Linked DNA regions of Rattus norvegicus. The protein of the gene in region 1 interacts with the protein of each later gene in a pairwise test. Links are inferred from orthologs where the notes say so. Each region holds a gene or a part of one and is shown on either strand. Other genes may lie near its edges.

What was found. The genes of interacting proteins can lie anywhere in the genome.
Region 2: the proteins of Cep70 (region 1) and Tead4 interact in a two-hybrid assay, tested with the Homo sapiens proteins (2 studies listed by BioGRID). The two-hybrid records come from large-scale screens. The link is inferred for Rattus norvegicus from reciprocal best matches to the Homo sapiens genes CEP70 and TEAD4.

The regions. Positions count from the first base shown.
Region 1 is NC_086026.1:108,734,707-108,738,206, reverse strand, and holds part of Cep70 (centrosomal protein of 70 kDa), read right to left. Parts: intron 535-3,500; coding exon 388-534; intron 285-387; coding exon 116-284; intron 1-115.
Region 2 is NC_086022.1:163,255,543-163,259,732, reverse strand, and holds the start of Tead4 (TEA domain transcription factor 4), read left to right. Parts: upstream 1-1,390; 5' UTR 1,391-1,899; intron 1,900-4,190. UniProt on the Homo sapiens protein: Transcription factor which plays a key role in the Hippo signaling pathway, a pathway involved in organ size control and tumor suppression by restricting proliferation and promoting apoptosis.

The DNA.
Region 1 (3,500 bases):
CGGGGACCGAACCCAGGGCCTTGCGCTTCCTAGGTAAGCGCTCTACCACTGAGCTAAATCCCCAGCCCCAGGAATAATTCTTAAATCAATGCCCCAACTGACAAAGGGTCATCACCTAATCCCAGGAGCTCCTGAAGGTTTCTTACAGCGTTGTTCATTTCTCCAAGCCTGGCGTACACTTCATTCATTCGAGGATAGACTCCATTTAAAGACTGCACATCAAACAGCTTTTGGAAGTGAGAAACAATAGCTTGCAAAGTTTGAGAGTTTGGCATGCTGCTGGTCTATACAAAGAAGGTCAAAAGGGTAGTTTACAAGTTGAAATAATAATAAGTAGTTAATATAAACCTTTAAAATGAGAGCAATTATATAAGTATCAAATGTTACCTCTTTCTGGTTTTCAACTTCTTCCAACATGGTATCTACCATTAACAACAGATCTCCTACTTTGACACCTTCATTTTCATTCGGTTTCTTTAAATTATGCCAAGGTATCAGTTCTGCAGACAGTATTTTTAAGGACTTATACAAATCCTTTACAACAGAAGAAAGCACATGGGATTATTGGTTACAGAATAGTTTGTATAGTAACACTAATAACACAGTAATCATGGGGGCCTAAAAACACATAGCTATATAACCACCATCAGTACTTTTTTAATACCACTGCCAATTTAAAACAAGGCTGTTCTAAGTAATAATGTTATTGTTTTTTTAATTATTTTATCAGTGCTGGAGATAGTCCAGGCCCTTCCTCACATATACAAAGCAAATATTTTACCACTGAGTCATATTTCTAGTCTAGGTTTTAAATATTTTTGCAGCAATTTTGAAATGAGATTTACATACCAAAATATTCACCTTTACTAAGTATACAATTTGATGGTTTTCCTCTTTTCACAGTGGTACAAAACCACTGTGTAAGCTCAGAACTCCTCCCTCTTCTAAGAGCTTCCACACCCAGAGCTGGAGAAACACTTAGCAGTGAGAGCACTTGTTGATCTTACAAGAAGAGCCAGGTTCAGTCCCCAACACTGCATGATGGTTCACAACCATTCAGAACTCTAGTTCCAGAGGATCTAATGCTCTGGGACTACAGTTACTCTGGATAATATAGATAAATATCAACTGAGTATCCATGTGTCACGAAGAGCTTTGAGGTATGTAAGAACAAATACAGCTATTTGTTTCCCAAGGAGGTCACATAGTCTTAACAAGTGTCTCTGGGTACTCGGGGAAAACGCTAACTCTCCATATGAGGCTTCTTCCAACTTCACATACTAACTTGATCCCGAATCTGCACTGTTAGAAGCACTGTTAAAGGCCACGAGCTTCCTGGGTGGCAGAAGTGACTAATTCTAGCCAATTGCCTCATGTCCTTCTAATACTCTAACTGTAAGGCTGACTCCTTGCCTCCTATTGAAAAAACCACACCTTAGGCAGAATGTAGCACCCCTGCCCACGTTGCTTGGGGCTATGATCAGTGATGCCCTTTCAACCAGACTCTGGTGTCCAGGTCACCCACAGCATACACCTGTACTGCACCAGGCTGTCCACCTTTATTGCATTAGTTTTTTCTAATCATATACTGCACAGTTATCTAAAGTCCATGTTTCGTGTGCTTGATCTGTCCAGTTCATCTGAGTCTGTTTTAATGGAGTATGTGTATATTTGGGGACTTTTGTCTGCATCTTTACACTAGAAAACAGATTTACACAGTGGTGAGCAGCCTTGTGGCCGCTGGGAATTGAACTCAAGACCTTCAGAAGAGCGCTGAACCACTGAGCCATTCTTCCAGGACCTAGTCTGAGTTTTATGTTCATAGTTTTGTAATACTTTCCCATCTCCCACATAGAAAAATTAACTGTATCTATAAATTTGGTTCCTCCTTTTGTCTCCTTTCTCATTTGGTTTTTCCCTTCTGATGGAAAGCAAGGGCTGTTTCTATTGTAACTCTTCTGAAAAGGAGGAAGGCAGAGTTAGCACTGTTATCCCTACAGTGGGCTCTTGGCCAAGCATTGAGTGGGACATGCCACAGTGTCCACAAGCCATCTCCACCCCACCCTTTTCTGGGAAACAAACTTGAGAGACTCAGGCTTATAAAACAGTGTATTAATTTACCACAGCCATTTGACCAAAAATGCTTAGATAGTGTAGGGCTCTGTCTAAATCCTAAGGGGGAAAAAGGAAATAAATCTTGGGCTGAGTGCCAAGATTCCTTCATAGGTTCTATACAGACATAATTTTACAAATTAAAAACTCAAGCCAGGTGTGGTGGTGCATGCCTTTAATCCCAACATTCAAGAGGCAGGTGGACCTCTGTGTATGAGGCCAGCTTGGTCTACAAAGCAAATTCTAGGACAGCCAGGCCTATACAGAGAAACCCTGTTTCAAAAAACAAAACCAACCAACCAAACAAACAAACAAAAAAACCAAAGACAAAAAGCAAGCAAGCAAACAAACAATAAAAAAACCCTTTAGTGGTCTGAGACTATAGTTATTCTAGAATAATATGGATTGATTTGTATCATGAAGAACGTTGAGGCATATAAGAACAAATACAACTTTTTGTTCCTAAAGAGGTCACATACTCTTAGCAAGTGTCTTCAGATAACAGGACAAAATGCTGACAAATGTTATCACTGAATCGTATCTTTATTAACCATAGTAGAATTTTGTATAATATAGGTTACTGAAAGAAATCCAACATTTAAAAGGCACAAAGGCAATACTATTAACTTTATAGCAAACCACTTCTCAATAAACTAATAAAAATGTAATAAACTCAAGTTATATAATAAATACACAATGAACTATAAGTCAAATGTAAATATATCTAATTTCCTAGTTGTTAATAATCAACTTCTCCTGAGATTAAATAAACAGCAATAAACTCAGTCCTGAGAAAGAAAAGTAACATGTGAAGACTGTAAAGCTATTCCCCGTTAAGATGAGAGTAAGGGTAAGACGTTGATCTGAGCATGTGCAAAAGCCAGGAAATGGGCAGCATAGATATCCACAGGAAGAGAGCTAAAGATGGAAGGGCTCAGAGGAACAAAGATGGATCCACTACAAATTCTCAATGAGAGAACTTTCTGTGTTAGAGTTTTGGAAGAGGTGAGCTTATCAAAAGAACAATTTACAAGATTAGAAATACGTAAGGTCAAGCATGGTGGATCCTGCCCTCAATTATAGCACTCAGGAGTCAGAAGCAGGAGGTTATCTGTGAGTTCAAGGCCAGACTGGTCTAGGTAAAGAGTTCCAGGCCAGCCAGGACTACAGAGTTACACTCTACAGTCTGTCTCAAAAACAAATTGGAACAAAAGCCAGGACAATACAGTTACACTCTACAGTCTGTCTCAAAAACAAATTGGAACAAAAGCCAGGACTATACAGTTACACTCTACGGTCTGTCTCAAAAACAAATCAGAACAAAATACGAAAGCAGCAATATTTCAATTTTAGAAAAGTGGGGTTGGGGCTGGGGATTTAGCTCAGTG
Region 2 (4,190 bases), on another chromosome or scaffold:
AAGAGCTGAGTCAAGGTCGCCCCACAGATGTGGTAAGCAAAGACCCGTACTGTAGATGGAGTCATCTATCCCAAGGCTGAGGCAGGAGCAGCTGACAGAGTTCAAGGTTAACCTGAATAACTCTAATAGACCTGATCAGAAACCAAAGCACATCAAGGCTGGGGCCACAGCGCGGTGGTAGAGCATTGCCTAGCACACACAGGGCTGGGAGTAGACATCAAACTGGTTAAAGTCGCCCCTTTGCCTTGAATTGCATTGGTTTTTGTTCTTGAATGTGGATTTGCATTAACAATTACTGTCTTGCTTCAACCGTGAACTTCTTGAAGGCAGGGGCTTCTGCACTTAGCTTGGCAGCGGAGTCAAGGAAGGGCTGCTGGATTAAGTGGTGGGACAGTTTGTACTCTACACTCACAGATACGCTGCCCTGCGATGTCCTTTTCATGCGAATGGGATGTGCCCAAGCTTTGATATGACTCACTATTTAATAAGCATACCAGAATTTATACATCCAAACGAGGGCTGCAATCCTTCAAAGTCTTCCCTTTGTAAGACGGGATTCTCAGTCCCATGATGCTGGCATTTCCGCAGACTCTTTAGATCCCCTCTCTTAGGTACAACCCTGGCATTTATAACACTTACTTTTCAACGTCTCCCAGGCTATCCTTCCCTCATTTATTACCTCCATCTCCATCTTGAGTTGTTCGTGCTGGGTAAACGCTAAGATAGATCTGGAGAGTTGCCGCCTTCCAGAGTTTGTTTCACCAGATCAGACTGGGAGAGCCACGGCAATAAAAATTTAATGATAGTGCTTCAGAGATTGTTTGATTTGGGGGGAATAGCAAAGGCTTTTCTTTGATTTTAAGTTTCCCAAAGTGAAGAGGTGAGTGCCGGAGCGAGGTAGTAACTAATTGCTTTAAGCCAAATGGTTCTAAGACTCCTAGCCCGAGCCCACGTGTTTCTTCTAAATTGATCTGACGTACTTCTTTGAAACTCAGACTTCTAACTTCATGGCCAAGCTGTCCCGGACCCTGGGTCATCAGCAGCTAAGTTCCAGCTCTCTGTGAACCACTGCTGGGACCCACTCTTTATTATTGTCCCAGCATCCGGTGGACCTATTCACAGGATAAAGATTCATGGAGTTACAACAGAGTCCATGACGGGTCTCCCCTTTCTTCCCTGCTTTCTGAGAAGTGACAGTTCTGCAGATCCCAAGGGACAAGGAAAGAACTGAAAGGCTGATGTTGGAGAGGGCTGGAGAGGGAAAGCGGTGGCGGATCTGGGAGCAGAGCCGGGAGTTCCTGCTTCCTGCTCCCGGAGCGAGTGTCCTCCGTAGCAGCCTCGGGGAAGGGAACAGCCCTTCCTGCTCCGGTCCGCGTACTCCAGGAGCACAGCGAGGCGCGCCCCACCCCGGCGGAGGGGACGGTTTTTAGCAGGAGGTGGTGGAGGGATTCAATGCCACTCGGGGATGTGGGAAGCTGGAGGTGAGCGGGAAATCCGTAGATCACAGTCAAGGCGTGTGGGCACGAGTGGCCAGAGGCGCCGAGGGGTCCGCGGGGTTCTCGGGTGTCTCCGTCGTGCCCCGTCCCGTGGTCGCCCGCGGTCCCCCGGGCTCCGCCCAGCCGCGGAGCCCAGCCTCTCTCAGGCCGGGTCTCCTCCCTAAGGTGCGGGTGGCAGCGCCACTCCCTCCGCTCCCTCCCCAGCCGCGCGCGTCTCATTCCAGCGCCCATTCCGCGCATTCCTACCGGGCTCCTCTGCAAACTCCGGCCCCGGGGGTGGGGACCGCCTCAGCTACACGCTCGGGCCCCGAAGCCGTCGCCGCGGCTGGAAGACTTGGCCCCCCGCGTGGACTTGGTGCAGCCGGCCGAGCGCTCCCACCCCGCCTCCTGAACCCTGGGACCGGTAAGGCTGCTGAGTTCGGGCGACATCCGCGTCCTGCATGGTCTCGGGCAGCACTAGGGGACCAGTGGGGCACGTGGGGGCGGCGGAGTCCAGAGACTGGACAGAGCAAGGTCGCCTGGCAGAAGTTTTAGAAGTTGGAGACTGATGAGCCTCAGTCAGGCCCTTTTCTACTTTTCAGCCTGGAGAAGGGAGCACAGAAGGGAGGTGTGTTGCTTGGACCTTCTGCAGAGGTCCTCAGGGTTTGAGACGCCGTGGGCCCTATGGGTGAGAAGTGATGGACCATTGCTCCCAAACTCCAAGGCACTCTACTCTAGCAGGCAGCCCAGGGGCGCGCCGCGGTGCACACACGTGTCAGGGGGCTCCAGGCACACCCACATCCATCCCACTCAGTGAGTTCAAGCGAGGTATTACTTACCTGCGCCAGCATCCTTAAGTTTTGGGTGTACCTGAGGAAGAGATATCTGCGCGCTGTGACTCACCTTGCTTTCAGGAGGTGTATTTGTTTGTGCTAAACAATGCGACAGTGAGTGCATTGCTACTTGAAGAGGGTGCTGTCTGAAACCCTAAGTGTCCGGGTGGGTGTGTGATGCCTCCTCTCCAACACCCCTCGTCGCTCTGAGGATGTTGGTTCTGGCTCTGACTTCTTGCAGAACCGGAGCAGGGGACAATGTCTCCAAGTTCTTTGTGTTCAGGGAGAATTTGACAGTAGTAGTTGGAAGTGTCCCCTCCCGGCCCTCCCGCCCCCCACTCCTCACCCCAGCTCTGCTGGGTTGAGCTTTGCTGGCAGGAAGCTGCCTACACCTGCCCCCCTTCCAGGCAGCTGTCTTTCTGAGGGAGTGTGGATCCTGTTCTGGCGGAATCCTTTAGGGAACTGCTGGTAGGCTAAGCAAAGCTGAGATCTTTGCCCCCAGGGGCTAGGATGGGTTGTTGGTAACGTTTATGGGGGTGGACCCTCTAAAAGGAAAGGAGCTTGTTAGGTTGTTTTCTTTTGAGACAGAAGTCTCTTGTAGTCTAGGCTGGCCTGGTCCTACTACCCCAGCAGGAGGTGGCTTTCATTCTCCTGCCTCAAAAAAAAAAAAAAAAAAAATTACAGACTGGAGTCCGTAGGCTTAGCTGACCACATGGGTTGTTGGATAGTGTTTGTTGGGCGGTTGATAGAGTTTCAAAGTTGCCTTCAAGGACAGGGGTGTTAGTGTTCTCTCTGTAGGAACCTTGAAGCAATGAGGAGAAGAAAATCTCTCATTCCTGAATAGCCAGGGTCTTGCTCTGAAACCCAAGCTGGGTTCAAACTGGATATCCTCTGCCTCAGCTTCCCCCTCATTCTTCACAGTTAGCTAGATGACCTTGTTTCTGTGGGGAAACTTGATAGCTCACTGTAGGAAAGCTTTAGTGACAGGAAGGTGAGGGCTGCCTCCGACTTGGTAGCTGAGTCCAGGATCTTGACAGGACGGTGGTGTGAGAGTCACAGACTTGGCATCAGGGTTCTCCCTCATTAACACAACACAAAAGTGATGGCTGTGGTTTCTCGGAAGGAAGGAACAGAGAACCATGTCAGGAGTGAGGGGGAGGGGCTCTTGTGTTTATCTTTCCTTCTCTCCTGCTGATGTAGATAGTCAGCTGGGACATACCTCATATTCCATACTGCTCAGGCCGTGTCCACAAGGGCAGCTCTCATGGGGTAGGGAACACACAGGTGTGGGGTCAGACAGACCTGGACATGAATCTTGATACTCACTACCTTTAAGGCTCTTGGGCTCCGTTTCCTGATGAGTAACATTGCGGGGTGGGAATGAGGGGTGAGTAACTAAAGCCAGTGCAGAAAGCTTGCTCTGAAAATTCAGTGTCTCTAAAGCGTCTGTTAGCACATCCCAGGGCCCTTGGAAATGGTGTATCCTATGTTTTCCTAAGCTTGCTTTGGCAACCCCCTCCCCCTTCCCCTTCATTCCAGGGCCCTTGGAAATGGTGTATCCTATGTTTTCCTAAGCTTGCTTTGGCAACCCCCTCCCTCTTCCCCTTTTCATGTTGAGGATTGGACCTGGAGTCTTGTAACATGTGAGACTAGAGGATTTTGTGTGATTATTCTCTGGGCACCCTTTGGGCAACCTCACCACGTATCATATTTATTTTGCCAACATGAATTGGGCATTTTCTGTGGGTCCCGTGCCATGGGGAGGCTTCCACCAGATAACATAATTCTCTAGCTCCCATATTCTCATTTCTACTTTTGCCTGCTCTCAGGACATTTGCTGAGCACTGTAGGATCCTCAGTCAAAGTCCAGGCCCAGGGTGGG